Linked DNA regions of Arabidopsis thaliana. The protein of the gene in region 2 interacts with the protein of the main gene of each other region in a pairwise test. Each region holds a gene or a part of one and is shown on either strand. Other genes may lie near its edges. The genes, in order: AT1G74840, AT2G14880, NF-YB10 and RVE1.

What was found.
Region 1: the proteins of AT2G14880 (region 2) and AT1G74840 interact in a two-hybrid assay, tested with the Arabidopsis thaliana proteins (one large-scale study listed by BioGRID).
Region 3: the proteins of AT2G14880 (region 2) and NF-YB10 interact in a two-hybrid assay, tested with the Arabidopsis thaliana proteins (one large-scale study listed by BioGRID).
Region 4: the proteins of AT2G14880 (region 2) and RVE1 interact in a two-hybrid assay, tested with the Arabidopsis thaliana proteins (one large-scale study listed by BioGRID).

The regions. Positions count from the first base shown.
Region 1 is NC_003070.9:28,114,934-28,119,060, reverse strand, and holds AT1G74840 (Homeodomain-like superfamily protein), read left to right. Parts: upstream 1-1,638; 5' UTR 1,639-1,743; coding exon 1,744-2,026; intron 2,027-2,189; coding exon 2,190-2,398; intron 2,399-2,554; coding exon 2,555-2,860; 3' UTR 2,861-3,618; downstream 3,619-4,127. Other genes in the region: AT1G74830 (myosin-binding protein, putative (Protein of unknown function, DUF593)), read left to right, coding at 3,868-4,127.
Region 2 is NC_003071.7:6,392,784-6,396,715, forward strand, and holds AT2G14880 (SWIB/MDM2 domain superfamily protein), read right to left. Parts: upstream 2,218-3,932; 5' UTR 2,059-2,217; coding exon 1,750-2,058; coding exon of another isoform or gene 1,741-1,749; exon of another isoform or gene 1,569-1,740; intron 1,020-1,568; coding exon 903-1,019; 3' UTR 527-902; downstream 1-526.
Region 3 is NC_003074.8:19,773,798-19,778,234, forward strand, and holds NF-YB10 (nuclear factor Y, subunit B10), read right to left. Parts: upstream 2,493-4,437; 5' UTR 2,285-2,492; exon of another isoform or gene 2,205-2,284; 5' UTR 2,195-2,204; coding exon 1,971-2,194; intron 1,810-1,970; coding exon 1,680-1,809; coding exon of another isoform or gene 1,659-1,679; exon of another isoform or gene 1,572-1,658; coding exon 1,566-1,571; coding exon of another isoform or gene 1,470-1,565; exon of another isoform or gene 1,430-1,469; coding exon 1,355-1,429; intron 1,259-1,354; coding exon 1,202-1,258; intron 909-1,201; coding exon 870-908; 3' UTR 532-869; downstream 1-531. Other genes in the region: AT3G53330 (plastocyanin-like domain-containing protein), read left to right, coding at 1-141; AT3G53342 (uncharacterized protein), read left to right, coding at 3,338-3,556.
Region 4 is NC_003076.8:5,689,726-5,694,899, reverse strand, and holds RVE1 (Homeodomain-like superfamily protein), read left to right. Parts: upstream 1-1,907; 5' UTR 1,908-1,975; coding exon of another isoform or gene 1,976-2,200; 5' UTR 2,201-2,464; coding exon 2,465-2,497; intron 2,498-2,909; coding exon 2,910-3,008; intron 3,009-3,089; coding exon 3,090-3,201; exon of another isoform or gene 3,202-3,268; coding exon of another isoform or gene 3,269-3,287; coding exon 3,288-3,349; intron 3,350-3,511; coding exon 3,512-3,826; intron 3,827-3,922; coding exon 3,923-4,465; 3' UTR 4,466-4,674; downstream 4,675-5,174. Other genes in the region: AT5G17305 (uncharacterized protein), read right to left, coding at 1,976-2,200; autophagy protein Apg5 family, read left to right, coding at 5,079-5,174. UniProt on the Arabidopsis thaliana protein: Morning-phased transcription factor integrating the circadian clock and auxin pathways. Binds to the evening element (EE) of promoters. Does not act within the central clock, but regulates free auxin levels in a time-of-day specific manner.

The DNA.
Region 1 (4,127 bases), on a different chromosome or scaffold from region 2:
GAGAAGAAGATAAATGGTGATCTTAGTTTATATGAAGAAGCGTCTATATGAAAATCTCAAGTAAGTAGCCAACTAAGTGTTTTGATGGATTGTTAGACCCATGATTTTGCAGCCATAGATTTTTTTTCGTTTTTTTTTCCATTCAACTATGTTTTTGATTACTATAAAGCTAAATGCTAATGTAAGATCAAAGCTCTAGTTACAATTAAAGGATCTATTAATCAAGATTCCTCAGGGAAGCTCTAGTTTTTGCTTGTGACCTCACCTGATGAACTCTCTCTGTTTCGAAATCTAACTTATTACATAGCAATGACCCAACTCCACCCAGAATAAAGAAAACAATCTGTTGTGCAAGATTCCTTCTTCGGTCTGATTAATCTTTTTCTCTCTCTCGTCCTCAGATATGTGTTTGTTTTCTGATTTAGGAAAGTCACTACAAGTTTGTCATCCAAATTGGTAATAAAATAAGAAAAAGATTGGAGAAAGAAAGGATCTTCCTATAGTGCTTCACACATTACAACTTTAAGATTCCACTTTGTGTGCGCATAAAAGTAATGGTGGCTTTGCTTTCTAACCGATGCTAGTGCTTTGTGTGATTTTGCTGTCTTCCAAAACTATTTACCAAATTTTGTAAATACTTTTTAGAATCTTTTCCCTACAAATCTAAAATAGATAAATAATAATAGTATGTGATCATATTGCTTACAGTCAAATCACATCCTAACATTCTACTAAAAGACTAAAACTATCACCTTTTTGTTTTTTAATGCTATATAGTTGTGATCAAGTCTGGACATACGATCATGCTGTTTATACTACAATTAGGTCCTTAACAGCGTCTTAAAATTTACTCTTAGCTAGAAAACGACAAATTCGACTACACAATCATTTTTGTTGTTGAATTAGATTCCTGAAATTGTAAGTTTTTGTGTTGAAATTCAAAGTTATAATTTCCAAAAAGGATTCACCTGTCTCCCAAGATTTTTTTCTTAATAATCAACTCATAGATCCACAAGATATAGTATTTTAGAAGAAAAAAAAGTACAAGGATGGAGCTGTAACTAAATAGATTATTAGAGCAGAGTACAGAATCATTTCAGAAGCTGACTATTTTTCTAAGCTCAAGTTGCATGCGCTTAGGCCTTAGAGACATTGCGTTGACCAGTACATTATAACCTGTAGATTTTTATCATAAAAATACATGAGGGTAACGTTAAGAAAAATAAAAGCGTCGATTTCATTTCATTTTTCTCATTCTGTTATTTCATTTTTTTGTATTTAACTTTGAGTTTGCGAAAGTCAATAAATATTTCTTCGTTATACGACCTACATTTTTTGGTCGACATAGCGAAATACTTTTTTAACTTCTTATTATAGGATAACATTTATTTAACTCTTTTTTCGTCATCCTATAAGATTAATTAAACTACTAACAAAAAACCTAATAAATCTAGTCAGCCAATGAATAAAAAAAGTCTATCCAAATGAAAACTCTGTAGAGAGACAGGCAGGTAAGAAAAAAATACAAGAACAGACGAATAAAAACAAAACACGTGTCATATGGTACCGTCACCAACACCTACAACATGTAATAGTTTAAAAAGGAACCACGTGGCTTTTGGCTTATAAAAGGGTCCCCAAAGAAGCTCAGATCTAACTCACACCACTCCATTGCCCATTGCTCTGTGTACTTTGCTTCTTTAGGAGAAAGAAAGCACAAGGGGCAAAATCGGAAAGATTATCATGGCCGACGGTAGTACTAGTTCTTCGGAGTCCACTACCGCCTGCGCTGGAAGCGGCACAAGAAGAGAGATTATGCTGTTCGGAGTCAGGGTTGTGCTTGACCCGATGAGAAAGTGCGTGAGTTTGAACAATCTGTCTGACTATGAACAGACGGCGGAGACTCCAAAGATCGACGGCGAAGATAGAGATGAACAAGATATGAACAAAACCCCGGCCGGTTACGCCTCGGCGGATGAAGCTCTTCCCATGTCTTCTTCTAACGGCAAAATCGAGAGGAAACGAGGTATTACTCTTCGATTGAAACTTTTTTTTATCATTCCATAAATTTGATCACTTTAAACTTAGGGATTTGTTAGATATGGTTTGAGAAATGGACTATGAACAACTTTATGTTCATTTGGATTTAGAAAGATGGCTAATTTATTGGGTTTCTTTCTATTTCTTAGGAGTTCCATGGACTGAAGAAGAACACAAGCTGTTCTTGCTTGGGCTGCAGAGAGTCGGTAAAGGAGATTGGAAAGGAATATCAAGAAACTTTGTCAAGACCAGAACCTCTACACAAGTTGCTAGTCATGCTCAGAAATACTTCCTCAGGCGAAGTAATCTTAACCGTCGCCGCCGAAGATCTAGCCTTTTTGACATGACTACTGATACGGTAAATCTCTAATCCTTTGTGACTCTAGTAAGTTAAGTGGTTAGGTTTAGTTTTTAGCTTAGTTGTTTAAAAGAAACTAATAGAGAGCCTTTGTGAATTGTTGGTTAGTGAAAACTTAAGTATAACAAAACTGATTTTGCTTGGTTTTGTTATCAGGTCATACCCATGGAAGAAGATCACCAAGTGCTTATACAGGAGAACACATCTCAATCATCTTCTCCTGTACCGGAAATCAACAACTTCTCTATACATCCGGTTATGCAAGTCTTTCCCGAGTTCCCGGTACCAACAGGGAATCAATCATACGGACAGCTTACTTCATCGAATCTCATCAATTTGGTTCCATTAACTTTTCAGTCAAGTCCAGCACCGCTTTCTCTCAACCTCTCACTAGCTTCATCTAATCTTAATGAACCATCTCCTTCAATGCATCCAGCATTCAACACGATTGGAGTCGCTTAGAGCTTATCCTAAAGGTGAAAATCTGCAACACACCCTGTTTGTTTCTTTGCTGTACAGATAGGTCTTGACTTTGTTATAAAAAAATTCGTCAAATTTATGTATTTGGCTAAAAAAAATCTGTTGAAAAGAAGAATAATAAACAGAGTTTGGAGATAGGACTTAAGTGGGGTTTTAGGGTTCATAATCATCCTGTGTTTTTCCTTCCATGTTTGGAAGTTGTTGTAATACTCTCTAAGTTCATTCGTGTGGATCTATCAAAACTTATAAATCATATTAACGTTATGTTTGTTTTATTCATGATCTCAATCATAAACAGAGTCGTAGTACTTGCTTATCATGTGGCTATCTAAATCATGTTAGATGATTCATGGGGTTTTAGGGTTTTTATAATATATCTGATTTCCAAGGATAAGATATTTTATGTTTGTAGAATAATGTCATTATCTTTAATGATGCCAATAATGTCAAATTTTATTGGTCACTTCCATCATAGTGGAGCTTTTTCTTTTCCCATCAGATGCTTTTAATATATTTTGTGTGGGATGATTACATATTACCCCTGTTGCGTAAGCAATAATCTTCCAATCACAGAACATGATCCCCATTCATTAATCGACCAATCAAACAGCATCATTTTTATATGATGATGATGTATATGTGTATGTCATGTGTGTGTTGGCATGTCCTCTGTTTCTGTCGTGTATGGTTGTATTCAGTTTTAGCGTCAACGACAAACTTCTCCTCACGTCTAAGCGGGGAAAAAAAAAAAAAAAACGAATCCAGTTTATCTTTGTTTGTTTTGTATCTCTCTGTCTTTTGACATTGTCTCTAAATTTATCAATTTCAAATCTGCGACTATCCTTTGTTTTTGGGTACTTTATCTCATCAAATTCCAGCCCAATCTAGACTCTCTAAACCCAGAAATAGAAACACAAATCACAAAAGATTGAGATAGATAGATCATGATCTCTGTTCTTTGTTGATCTTTGACCAAAATTCGATCTCCTATGTATATACAATTGCTCTGTTTTTTCTTGTTCTTGTTTCTGCTTTTACAAGCCACAATGTCTAAACGTTCTTTCAAGAAATTTGTGGAACAAGAACTCGGATCTCTTCCTCATTTCCTCATCTACACTGTTCTTGAATGGAGCCTCATTGTTTTCCTCTTCATCGACGGCGTTATCGCCTTTCTGTCAAACCAATTCGCCAAATTCTTCGACCTCAACATTCCTTGTCTTCTCTGCACCAGAATCGACCACATTCTCGT
Region 2 (3,932 bases):
CGCCGACTGCTTCTCCTTCTCCTTCTTATGTGTTAACACGTGGTGTTACACGTGGTGTTACACGTGGTGGCTCCTTATTTTCTTAATCTTTTACTTTATTTAGTTTAAGATTAAGCAGTTGTTAACCTAATCAAGGATGTATATGTTGGAGAATGGGCTTATGTAATTTTCACTTCTTTGTACTGCCCATTGGGCTTCCGTTTTAATGGAATTTGGCCGACTAAAAACAAAAAAAGCCTTCTACTTTACAGATGAGAAGGAGAGACAGACAAGTTTCAATGGGCCGAACCTAAAACCCATATTTAGATATTTTGATTCCTAGTTTCACATATCTATAGGCTAAACCCAAATTAATACTAAATTATTTGATATTTGTAAATGGTAAAATGGTTAATTTTCTAGACAAAACGAGATTCAATCTATCCAGAGGTAATATGAGTTCGTAATATAGCGAGTGAAGTGAAAAATGTAAATTTTCTCGCTCTTTTGTCAACCGTTTCTAAGTATATACGTCATTAGTATCATACCACAAATCCCTGAGCCTAGTAGATATGTCTTCCAAACCTTACCTCAATCTCTTCTCAACGGAGTATGTACATGATTATAAAACGTAACTAACATGTGTGAATTTCGAAAACTAAATAAACGGAAAAACATGTTGTCAAAAGCCGTTTACCGTTAGTCAAACAAGAAAAATAGAATCTGAAATCGAAACGAAAACGCAAACAACATTAGGAAGCAACGACTACATAACATCCATTGAATTGAAGCAACCAAAAAAAAACCTAATTTACTAATCTAAGTCTTCCTCAACTTCAAATACCCTTCTCTTTTCATGGCCATAACAGGTCAACAACAAAACATAGACAATCATCCAAATAAAGTTCCGCGGAAACAATCCATCAGAGGAAGTGAGGACCGATGAGCTTTGCAATCTCTAGGAACCCAACCCGATCTCTTCCTTCGAATATCTTCTTCAGCTTCTCATCACACAGTATTTCTCTCTTGTTTTGTGGGTCCTAAAGAACAAAATTAGTCATTTAGTAAAACTTTGATGCAAGTAAAACATCTTGAAGTACCGTAGCTAAATTGGTTCTTTAAACTTTGAAACCTCAAGACATGTCAATGAGAATAATACAGAGCTTTCTACTAGAGTAAAGTTTTGGCTACTTGGTTGCTATAGACTATAAATCTTGCAGAGAAACAGCATCCACATTTAAACACTATAGAACTAGAATTTCAAGAGCTGAAAAAAGTTCCATTTCATACTTAGAGAACCTGAACCAAACAGCAACAATACCAAGAAGCAGAGATCAAAACATCAGAGATACAAAGCCAATGACAGAACATATTAGGATTTTGGTCAAACTAGGCAACAAGGTTCAAGAACATAGCCCAGAGAAGATTATTAGTTATCTCTAAGGATACACATAGCCAAGCAAGTAAACGAGACGCAATCAAAGAATCAAATTTGCTTATACAAAACGTTATAAACAACTACCCCCAAAATCATATGAAGCAATTAGTCACCAAAATATTTTCAGCTTCCTAATCTAAAGAAAACTTACAAGTTACATAACTAACAAGAAGACAACCTAATTCAATTTCTGTCTTCTTGAATCCAGACCGTTCAATTTTCCTACAGAAACCCTAAAATATCAAACCACCGGATTGAAGAAAGCGAAACAAAACCATAAGAGAAACCAAAACCAGAGTGTTTCTGAGAGAGATTCTTGGTTGTTAAGTTACCTGAAGGTCATGTTCTTTGATGTAAGCCCAAATACGCTTAAGAGCTTGTGTGCGAGCGATTTCAGGAAGTTCGACGATGTCTTGCATCTCTGGTGAAACTGGTCTAGGTTTCATGATACCGCGTGGCACTCTCTTATTGGTTGCGGTTGGCTCTGAAGATTCCGTCGCAGATGTTACCGCTCGAACCAAGCGTAGTTTAGCCGCCGGGTGAGAGGCGAACCGGAGAGAGGACAGAGGAGTTGATGGGTTGCGGAAAGATGTCGTTTTGATGCAGAGGAAAGTGGAGAATGTTCCAGAAGAAACCGCCATTTTCGGTGTGCTTTGTCTGTGTGGTGGTGGAATTGGGAAGGTGAAAGGGGTTTTGTGTTATCCCTTTTGCTTTTTGGTTTTTATTTTTTTTATTCTTAGTATTGGAGTTTTGTCTTCATCGAGGAGAAACACTATTTATTGTCTTTTATTTTTTCTAATGGACAAATTGTTAAAAGAAAACCTTAGGGAAATTTTTGGTTAAATACAAAATTTATGCGGGTTAAAAATATAAATATTTTTAGAATCTAAAACTTTATGATAAAAAAAATAATTGACGGTCAAAAAGAACTGAAAATATAAAATTAGAAGTGAAAACTTCAAAAAATTTAAAATAAAATCGATAAAATGGAGACATATCAAACTAACTAAAGAAATCAGAATTTTTTTAAAAAATTGATAGAATGTATCGAAGATGTCTTTGGCCAACAATCATACAAATCCTTCTCTTAAGAAGCCAAACTTTATAAGCGTAGTACAACTTTTTAAACTATGCTTCATAACCTGGCAAGAAAAACTACTTAGAGTTCCAAGCTAAACCATAGAACCACACCAATACACCATAGAAGCAGATTTCGATCATATATAAAATATAGAGACGAGAAGCAACAGATCAAAACTAGATAACATCAATCTTGAATGATCAAGAAAACTAAATGATTGAACCTATGTAAACCCTAGTGAACAATAGAATATCCAAAGATATAGCAGCGGCCGGCCTGAACATCTCGACCATCAAACCAACTATCAATATCACATAGTAAAAGATAAAACCGATATTCTTATTGAAAATACCTAGAAAATTACGACAACTAATCTTCTAAAATCCGAGACCTTGCCTGATCAAACTCCTCAACCGTGGAAGTAGATGAAATGCTATTCGATAAACATCACTGAAATTGTTAGCCTCGTCAGAAACTATGTTTTCCTCAGAAAAATTATAGTCGGAGGTTTTTTTTGCCCTCAACTGTTGTCGCTAACCAAACGAAAAAAAAAAAAAAAAAATAGGTTTTCTTTAATTTAATATTTTCTGTTTTTTCTTTCATTTTTAATTCAAAATGGCAATAATAGTGAATATACAAATTTTTATGGCTATAAGATCTTTTTCAAAACATATATATGTGCTATTATAGTTACCAACATCTTGACTAAGCTTTTGGAGTCATTACTTTACTTGTATGTGCTATTAGACATAATGTCTCCAAAAAATGGGTTATAATAATCTTAATACCCAAAAAACTTAAACATAAGAACATATCTATTTTTTGTATAATTAGTTCTCTCTCAACAATTTGTATAAGTTGGAAAAATACATACTTTCACAAATCACAAATTGTTTAGCAATAGAAACAAATAGATATCGACGTTTTAATCTGATTCTGGATATATTGGTTATTAAATACAAGAGTAAAAACATATTGTGAGTTAGATGATTATCTATCGGGTTATCATGATAACAAAGTATATATCAATAAGTTTATAATTTATGTGCTAAATTTATATTTATCGAGTTAACTCATTTATCATATCATATGAAGAACAAAATAACGAGTTATATAAGGTATAATATTTGTGTGGCAGATAACTATTTGATTAATATGTTAACTAGTATAGTAATATAATAAATTTAATTTATCAAAAAAAATTAAAGAAAAAAGATTGTTAGATACTTGAAGTATAACGCAACACATGACTACACATGTCAAGTAAATTAAAGAATATTCAGCTTCTTGATGTATATAGATTGCATGGCCACATATAGAAAGTATATAGCGTTATGTGGTCAACATCATAAATATAGCATTTCAGATTAACCGGTCGACTAACTCCAGCGTTGACCAACAAAATATTCAAAATTATTTTTTATTATTATTAAA
Region 3 (4,437 bases), on a different chromosome or scaffold from region 2:
GTGCATTATTTTGTAAGCTTAAAGACCGGTCTTTGTCAGGCTGGGATTAAGCTTCGAGTCACGGTGCAACCATCAACCGAAGCTGTTACTTTCCCGAATGTTCCCAAGAAGAAGTTGTCACCTACCGTCAACAGATGGTAGTTACCCTTTCAGACCTCATCACTAAGCATTGAGTTTAGTTCAAGAGTTTTAGGTTTTGGTTTTGCTCTTTTAAAGAGTTTTTGGTCTTTTTATTCTTACTATTGTTTCATTTAGATTCTGTTATTCAGTTTTTCTTAAATTTCAAAGTTTTTATTTTTGTTTGATCAAGATTAGGCCCATAAACATGAACATGTTCCATATGACATTCACATGTCCCATGTGTTAGATTCTGAGCAGTAACAGAAAGCCTTATCAATATACACCAACAGATAAACGGAGTGTTATCACAAACTTAGATCGTGAATTTTACCACACCACAACGATTCAATATCAAGTTTCGTTTCTTTTTATCAATGGATGATGTCAAATGAAACTCGAATTTAGGACCAAAAAATCAAAGAGATAATTATAAATCATGATGTTGTTTTATAAAAGTTACGGGCTCACTTGCATGAAAGAATCAACAGGCCAATGAAGTGGTGATAAATAGCTTCTGCTTAAGACCAAAACCTAAGAAACATAACAGTCAAAAGAAAAAAAAGGTGCTTTTCAATTCTTATCATAAGCAAACCAAACTCTTCTCCCTACAACACAATCATATACAAATCTTCTCTCTCCCAAAAACTGAGATACCACAATCCATATCTATGGAAAGTGGATCACTCAGATTCTCAGACACAACAGGCATAGTCGAGTCTCGGAAGATTGTGATGAATAGTGTCCTAGTACTACTCTGTGCCCGGCATTTGAACCATCATATTCGAACCCTACATTCACAAACGAGTTTAATCAATTATCTGCATATTGATAGATTACAAATACCATTAACACTTCAAGATGCTCGATGCTATTGCCGAACCTCAGAGACTGGAACATATGAGAACCTATGTCTAGATTTCAAAAAGTGGATAATGCATATATGACGGTTTTATCGAGTCTATTAAAGTCCTTAAATCCTTTAATTGTTAATAATATTCTCTCTTTATACCCCGGCTCTGCTCTATGTAGAGAATGAATTCATTTATAAGTATCAACATTTCTTTTGTCGGAAAACACTTACTTGAGAGTTTCCATAAGGACCCTGTGAGAATGAGCCTTGTTGAGGAACCTGCGAGAACTGTTCAGAAAGTAAAGACAGGGAAACAATAAATTAGCTGGAGAAGCTAATGCTTAGGTAAACGACCATATCAACTGGAGAAGACCGAGTCATTACCTGAGACACTTGGCTTGGTTGACCATCTCTCTTTGCACTCGATTCCCCGCCTTTTCCTGATCCTTTAGTGTCACCCTATCAGACAGATAACAATAGCAAAGGGTAGCAGACAATCCTAATTAGATACAATCATACACCATATACCCCATAAAAGGATCCACGTACAAAATTCGACTATCAGAAAGATAAATGAAAGAGGAGAACCACGAACCTCCATCTGCAAAATTCCAATCCAAATAGCATAGACAAGGAAATGAGAAGGAAAAACAGAGAGTCAGTGAATGTATAGCAGAATGTAAACTGACTAATCTGAAGTGGAACATACCTCTCTATATCGCATCAGGTAAACCTTGAGGGGATCGATGTAATCTTCGAATCCTAAAGTGGCCATAGCCCAAAGCAAATCATCTCCATTGATGGTCTTCCTTTTCTCTCTTTGGCACTTATCACTAGCCCTAAAAGGCAAAACAATATTCCAAAATCGACATAGTGACTTTGCTTAACAACCCAATGAATATAACATCAATCTAACTTAACAAAGAAGAGGGCTTTACACGCTATAACCACCAAAGCAACAAAAAGGTAACATTTTTGAGAAAGTAGAGAAAGAAATTACTCGCTGGTGACGAAGCTGATGAATTCAGAGACACATTCCTGCATAGTCTCTTTAGCATCTTTAGCGATTTTGCCATTTAGAGGTAAACCTCTCTTCATGATACGGCTTATGTTAGCAATCGGAAGAAACCTGTCCTGCTCACGAACATTCAAAGACCTCGGGCTCTGATCACCGCCACTCTCATGGCTTCCACCACCACCACCACCGGTTTGCGATTCGGCCATCTCAGAAACCCTAGATAATCAGGTAGAGATTGGGAAATCGGGAGAATCGAGGAACCAAACCCAGAAAGCGCGAAGAAGTGATTAGAATACCTGAAGAAGAAGGAGAATTCGAAAAAGAGCGGGAGACGGAGAGAGAAATGATGATTGGAGGAGGAGACGGAGATGGAGAGAGAGATTTGATCTGATCTGATCCGACGCTGGAGAAGATAGGAGCTTGTATGCGATTCAACGATTTAGGGCTTTTTTATTTTTTTATCGACACCGTTCATTTTTTTTTTGTTAATTTGACAAAACCAAACAAACAAAAAAAACTCTTTTGTTTTTTCCTCAACAATGTTTCTTTGTTCTGCTTTTTTTAGTAATTAGGTGAAATAAAATATATAAGATTTATTTCAATGTAGTGAATTTTTTTCTTCTATCATGTAAACTATAGTAAAAAAACATGATTTCTTTTTTATATACATTGTATTTATGTAAGTGGATTTAATTTATCTAAATAGTTGTTATGATAAGTGGTTTTTCTCAGTGACATGTAATTTCTACTTATTTAATTGTCTAATTTAATTATTTAAGTGGTTTACTGTTTTTCTTGTTATCTTTATTGTTTTATTCAGTTTTTATTCTGTCATTTAAGCAAATATATATTTGTTTGGAATCAAAATAGTATTAGTTTTGTAATAAAACCTAGTATCTTATATAATAAAGTAAGGTTTCCTCAAACTTGTGCTCTAAAAATCTTACAAGTGGCGCTTTATTCATTCGACATGTGTCATTCTTCTTAAATTTAAATATACTATTTTCCATATTCTTTGAGTTTAATTAATATTCTATTTAATGACACATGTGATATCACGTTTTCTTTTATTTATTATGTCTAACTATTGCTGTTTTTTTTTTAGTCAACTAAACTGTTCTATTTCATAAATCAAAGCAGTTACGTTACACTAACATAATTATCATTTATGTAATTATGACCATGATTTCAATATTTAGTATCATATTTAATATCATTTTTAGTGTAACCCTTCACCTTATAAAATGCAAGACGCTGCATGTCAGTTTTTTTTAAGTTGGTTTCTCTGCATTTGTTAACGCTTGAGGTTGAAGCTTCATTCTTTCTATACGAAGATAATAAAAACGTGCATGGTAAGTTTCGGGAATTACTTCGAGAGGTTGCCTGTGAAGCTTCCTAATAACCGCCATGTGGAGAAGGAGAAGAAGAAGGAGGTGAAAGAAGAGGAGGTGGAGAATTGGGGGCTTAGAGAGTTGATCGATGGTGGTGACGTTGCTCCTGGTAGGATTCTTCATAGGAACAACATTAACATCGGTTCCTCAAGGTTTGTTTCTTACAACTCCTTTTAAACTTCTATCATTCTGTGTTGCTTTCGGGATTGTTTAAACATCGAAATAATATTTTGTGGTCTGCTAAGTCTTTCCACATAATTAAATTGAAAGTAAAGAGAAAAAAAGACAAAGCACGAACCATATGAGTATGACGGATTGGAGAAACCAAAGAATGGTAATCTCAAAGGTTTGCTTCGTCCTCTGTATTACGTTGTTTTTTATTTTTCTCATTTTCACTAAAGAAATGAACTAAAATCAAGTTTCTCTCTCTCATTTTTATAATTTTAATATTTGTTTTGTGTAGCTTTTGTATCGTCCAAATGTGGTGATACTGATTCACACTTTGTTACTTCTCTTCTTTATAACATGTTTCATGTGTTTTTGCTAATACATCCTTTTATAGGTGCAATGGTAGATACAAAGTGGCTTAAAAATTATTACACTAAGAATTTCTTAGCAATCATTACACTGAGAATTTCTGTTCATGATGAAGGTAATAGGTAAGCAAATCATATATGTCTTGCTCGATGCTCATCTGTGATGTATATTTTATTTAATTATTAATGTCATGGTTCTAATTTTTTCTCCAGCTATTTGTGTTTTAACTATTCGAGTCACAACCATAGTCAAAGTTTCAAAGTTTAGTAAATGGTGTCAAAGGCCTTTAGCTTCACTTTAGTGGTTCGACATGGGAACCCGGTGTCTTCAACCTGCTATTTTATGAACATGTCCGATATTTTAATAGAGGATATAAACATAGTATTAATGGATATACATATATATATATATATATATATATATATATATTTAACTAAATATCTTTAAAAACAAAATTTTATGTGACTTTCGTAGGTTTTGAAATAAAGAGGTTGAGTCAAATTTTAGAGTATATGCATAAG
Region 4 (5,174 bases), on a different chromosome or scaffold from region 2:
AAATGAATAAGAAACAAATAAAAAGAAAACTAGTGGCTAGAACCCTCCTTCTCGTCATTCCACATGTCAAGTTTCTGTAGAACAGACGGCTAAAATAAGAATCAGTGACATGGAGAAAAGTGCACTGACATTCACTAATTATTAGTATTAGTACTATATTATAAATTAAAGTGTAATTACTTTCACTTCCACCGAGGATGACTTTTACAATTTGAGGAGTATATTAAATTATGTGCTTAACAATGATTTCAATAAAATATCTACACATTTGTGAAAATTGATGACGACCTGGACGATGGATAATCATATTAATTCGAGAAAGTTGAAACTAATTATAAATATCATAGATAGATTCGTATCTGTATATATTATATTATATGGTATGTATACGTAGACTTACGTTATGGATAGACCCCCACCATGTTTTTATATAGAGGCAGAAGATATTTAACTTATGGTTTTCGTTTTTTCGTAAAATATGAAACAAAGACAACGACAAAACGAAAAAGAACCAAAAATAGTATCTCATTCTACTTTCACTTGATTTTGGAATTTCATTTATTTAGATTGTGATTCAAAACCATTTCAACTATGTAAAATTCTGTGCAATATTTTTCCCAACTAAACATATAAGTTTGACATGAAAAAGAATATAGGAAAATTTAGAGGTCCAAATTTTATATGTATATCGGAATCATGGTAGGATACGTTATCAATTGCATTTGTATGAGGCTTGCTATTGCTAGTATAGAAGCATCATCAACAAATCTTAATATCAGTCCAAATTTGAATAACCCATTTTGTGGATCTCATTTCATAAAATAAACCATTTTAGTGTCCTGCAAAAATGTGTTTAGACAGAAATCTTTTTTAAAATCTGAATTTAGATATTATGATGGTTATAATTTATATATAAATTTACTATCAAATATTGTGTTCATATATGGAAGAATGGAGAAAAAAGAGTAGAACCCCACAAAATAAAAAATGGATAGACTATGTTTTCTAAGATTGGACAAAGTGTATAATAAAATCTTCTGATCTGGTCCAAAAATAAAATGTTAAGAGTTTTCGAATTCGAATAATTTGATTTTGATTAAGATATCCACTTCGGATATGTTTTCATATGTAGCTTTTTAAAATACCCTAATAAATATTTTCATAAAGAGTTTATGTAAATAAATCAAAATATATTTTTAACTTTTTATTTATTATAGTTTTATATATTACTGTTTTAATTATTTTGAAGTATTTTTGATAGATATGGATTTGGATGGTTCCGCAAACAAATCCTATGGATCCGGATCCAAAGAACCAATCATAAATTTTGGAATATGTCCACCCATATATGGATCAATAGAGATATAGTTAAGAAAAGAAAATGAATTTATCCCGCAAATTTACATTTTTATCTCATGTAGTGGAACCAATGAAAAGCGAGTAAGCTAAGAAGTCATACTCTCGAGAGTACGCCTTTCCATATTTTCCTTTAAAAGTATCTTCTGGTGGCTCACATTTCTCCGTCCAGCAAAATCTTTTTTGTTACATAAATATTATATTTCCTGATATTTTATATTAAAAGATTATCCAATTGAAATGATGTCAAAAAAGGAAAGGAAAAGTAGGGGAATTAAATAAATACATACAGTGATAATCGAAGTACCAAATCTAACTGTTTTAAAACAAGTAGATTCATTTTAAAAAATTAAATATTTGATTTTTCAAAGAGATAAATGAATAAATCTAGTACAAATTTTGTTGCAAAAAAAGAAGATGAAGAATATGAGAAAGAGCGACACGTGGCAAAGATGGACATTGAACGTGAGCCACAAGATTTTCCATCTGTTTCTCGAGCGTTCCATGGAAAACCAATAAGAATTATTATTTTTATTTTTTAAAAATTGGGAAAAAGCGCACATAGCAGAAGCTGACGTGGCATCACCCTCCTTTTTGTCTTCCCTATTTTCTCACCCCCCTAATTCCCTTCTTCCTCCTTCACAGACCCCAAACTCTTCTCTTCTTCTTCTTTCTCTCTGTTTTCTTCTTCTTCCGCCGAATCAGAAAGCTTGTCTTTTTCTTTACTCCGGCTACCAAAACTTCTCGGAGTTTCTCTGAGAGTTTCATTTCCGACCTTCTTCTTATCCTTATTTGCGGCAAGATTTCCAGCGAGAGTTTTTTTCTCTTTTCCTTTATCGAACATAAGAAATCTCTGGTTTGCTGGAAGTTTTTTTTCCGGAAGGTGGAAGCTTAGATTGGTTCTGATTTCAGAAGCAAATCGTTTGTTGTTGCCTAAGTAAACCGAATCAATTTATGGGATCTATAGAAACAGACGGAGAACAGAGGAAATTAAGCTGATTTTTTCAAGTCTAGATTCGCGAATTTATCTTGGTGTTTCCTTTTCTGTGTTCCACACCTTTCGAGTTTTTTTTTGTTTTCCTCCGCCGAGATCTTAATCCGGGAAGTTATGGCGTCGTCTCCGTTGACTGCAAATGTTCAGGTCTGGTCTCAAAATTTGATTTTTATCCACTTTTTTTGTTTTGTTTCTGCTTTATTCAGGTCTGGTCTCAAATGAATCTATGAGTTTAAAATACTGTATACGGACATTTAAGTAATAAAGCTTAGAGTTAAAGCAAGTTCGTTGCAATTCATTTGCAGACTCTTGTTTCTTTTGAGCTATAAGTTCTCTCTAGATTTGTGTGTTGCAACTACATTCATTTGAATCCTTGAGATGGAATCGACTGTGTTGGAATTTTGTGATTAGGATATGTAAATCGAGTTTAATTAGTTGGACTTTGTGAATGAATGTTCATTGAGAAACTGAAGAAGAAAGTAAATAATCCAATGCCACTTTGTGTCATAGTCCTTAAAATGATGTTTCCTAAAGTCGTTTTGCTTGATGATGGCTTTAGGGTACCAACGCTTCTTTGAGGAATAGAGATGAAGAAACTGCAGACAAGCAGATACAATTCAATGACCAAAGTTTTGGGGGAAATGACTATGCACCCAAGGTTTGTTTCTTTTAACATCAAATGTCAAATATTGTTATGTAAAGTGAAGATCTGTGGCTCAGTTCATCTTTTCTTACTTAGGTACGGAAGCCATACACGATAACAAAAGAGAGAGAGAGATGGACAGATGAAGAGCACAAGAAGTTTGTTGAAGCCTTGAAATTATACGGGCGAGCTTGGAGACGAATAGAAGGTAAATTAATGATTTAGTAATATCTCTTGCTACTGAGTTATGGCCTTACCTGGACCCTCAAAAATATATGTTTGTTTCACTAACAGAACATGTGGGCTCAAAGACCGCAGTTCAGATTCGAAGCCATGCTCAGAAGTTTTTCTCTAAGGTTTATACACTTATTTGCTATTATATCTTTACCCTTGTTCAAAGAAAGTATCAGTCTAATCTCTGTAGCAAACCTAAGTTCTGCATAAATAAGGAATCATTATACATACATTGTTTGGAGACTTGTGTTCTGACTTGGCTTTGTTCTGTTGTATTCACACAGGTTGCTCGAGAAGCAACTGGAGGTGATGGGAGCTCAGTAGAGCCGATTGTAATACCTCCTCCTCGTCCCAAGAGAAAGCCAGCGCATCCGTACCCTCGTAAGTTTGGGAACGAGGCAGATCAAACAAGTAGATCGGTTTCTCCCTCAGAACGTGATACTCAATCTCCAACCTCTGTGTTGTCCACTGTTGGATCAGAAGCATTGTGTTCCCTTGATTCGAGTTCACCCAATCGAAGCTTGTCCCCAGTTTCTTCTGCATCACCACCAGCTGCTCTTACAACCACTGCAAATGCACCTGAAGAGCTTGAGACTCTGGTACTTGACATAAACAAAACCGAATTTATACTTAACAGCAATACCTGCTGTTAGATGCTTAATGCTTAATATTCTTGGTTTAATCAATTTGTACAGAAGCTGGAGTTGTTTCCTAGTGAGAGACTCTTAAACAGGGAGAGCTCGATCAAGGAACCAACGAAGCAAAGTCTTAAACTCTTTGGGAAGACAGTTTTGGTATCTGATTCAGGCATGTCCTCTTCTCTAACAACTTCAACATATTGTAAATCCCCAATTCAGCCATTACCACGGAAACTCTCATCATCCAAGACACTACCCATAATAAGAAACTCACAAGAAGAACTCTTGAGCTGCTGGATACAAGTCCCTCTTAAGCAAGAAGATGTGGAAAATAGATGTTTGGATTCAGGAAAGGCTGTCCAAAACGAAGGATCATCGACTGGATCAAACACTGGTTCGGTGGATGATACGGGACACACGGAAAAGACCACAGAACCCGAAACAATGCTATGTCAATGGGAGTTTAAACCAAGTGAGAGGTCTGCATTTTCTGAGCTCAGAAGAACAAACTCCGAGTCAAATTCAAGAGGATTTGGTCCATACAAGAAGAGAAAGATGGTAACAGAAGAAGAAGAGCATGAGATTCATCTCCACTTATAACACATTTTCTTACGTACCCTAAAGAAGAGACTTTAAATTTACTATTCATTCGACTTTCTAAGTTTTCATCAATGTAATTTTTGTTGTTGTTTCATTGTTTTCTCTTGAGGTGTTTGTTCTCTAGGCTAAAATTTTCTGCAAAAGTTTGTAACTGTAAAACTCGTGTACAATTTATACAGTTAAATCTAATGATTATGAGATCTTTCTTAATTGATGGTTCAACAAAAGCAAGTTTCAGGTGTCTCTCTTCAATATCTCCGATTAAATTAGGTTTGGTAAAGAGTTTGCTTTGAAATGAAGGCAAAGAAGAAAAACAGTGAGGTTACCACCAACTGAACAAGTGTGTGTTCAAAGTTCAAACCCAACAAATAACCGAACCGATTCGGAAACCAACTCTAACCTGAAATTTTGATAGAATTTGACCAGACCAAATTAGACCGGTTAACACCCTTTCACGTTAGCCACCAACAGATTAAGCAGTGTCTAACGTACGCCTTATTAATACCACATAAAGACGCAAGAGAAGATGACGTCATACAGAAACAGCGTCGTTTTGAAAGCTGAGTTTTTTTTGTGAAGCGAGCGAGCGTGAGAAGGTGTGACGGGGAAGAGAATGGCGAAGGAAGCGGTCAAGTATGTATGGGAAGGAGCAATTCCTCTGCAGATTCATCTCCACAAATCCGACGTCGCTTCTCACCCTGCTCCTCCT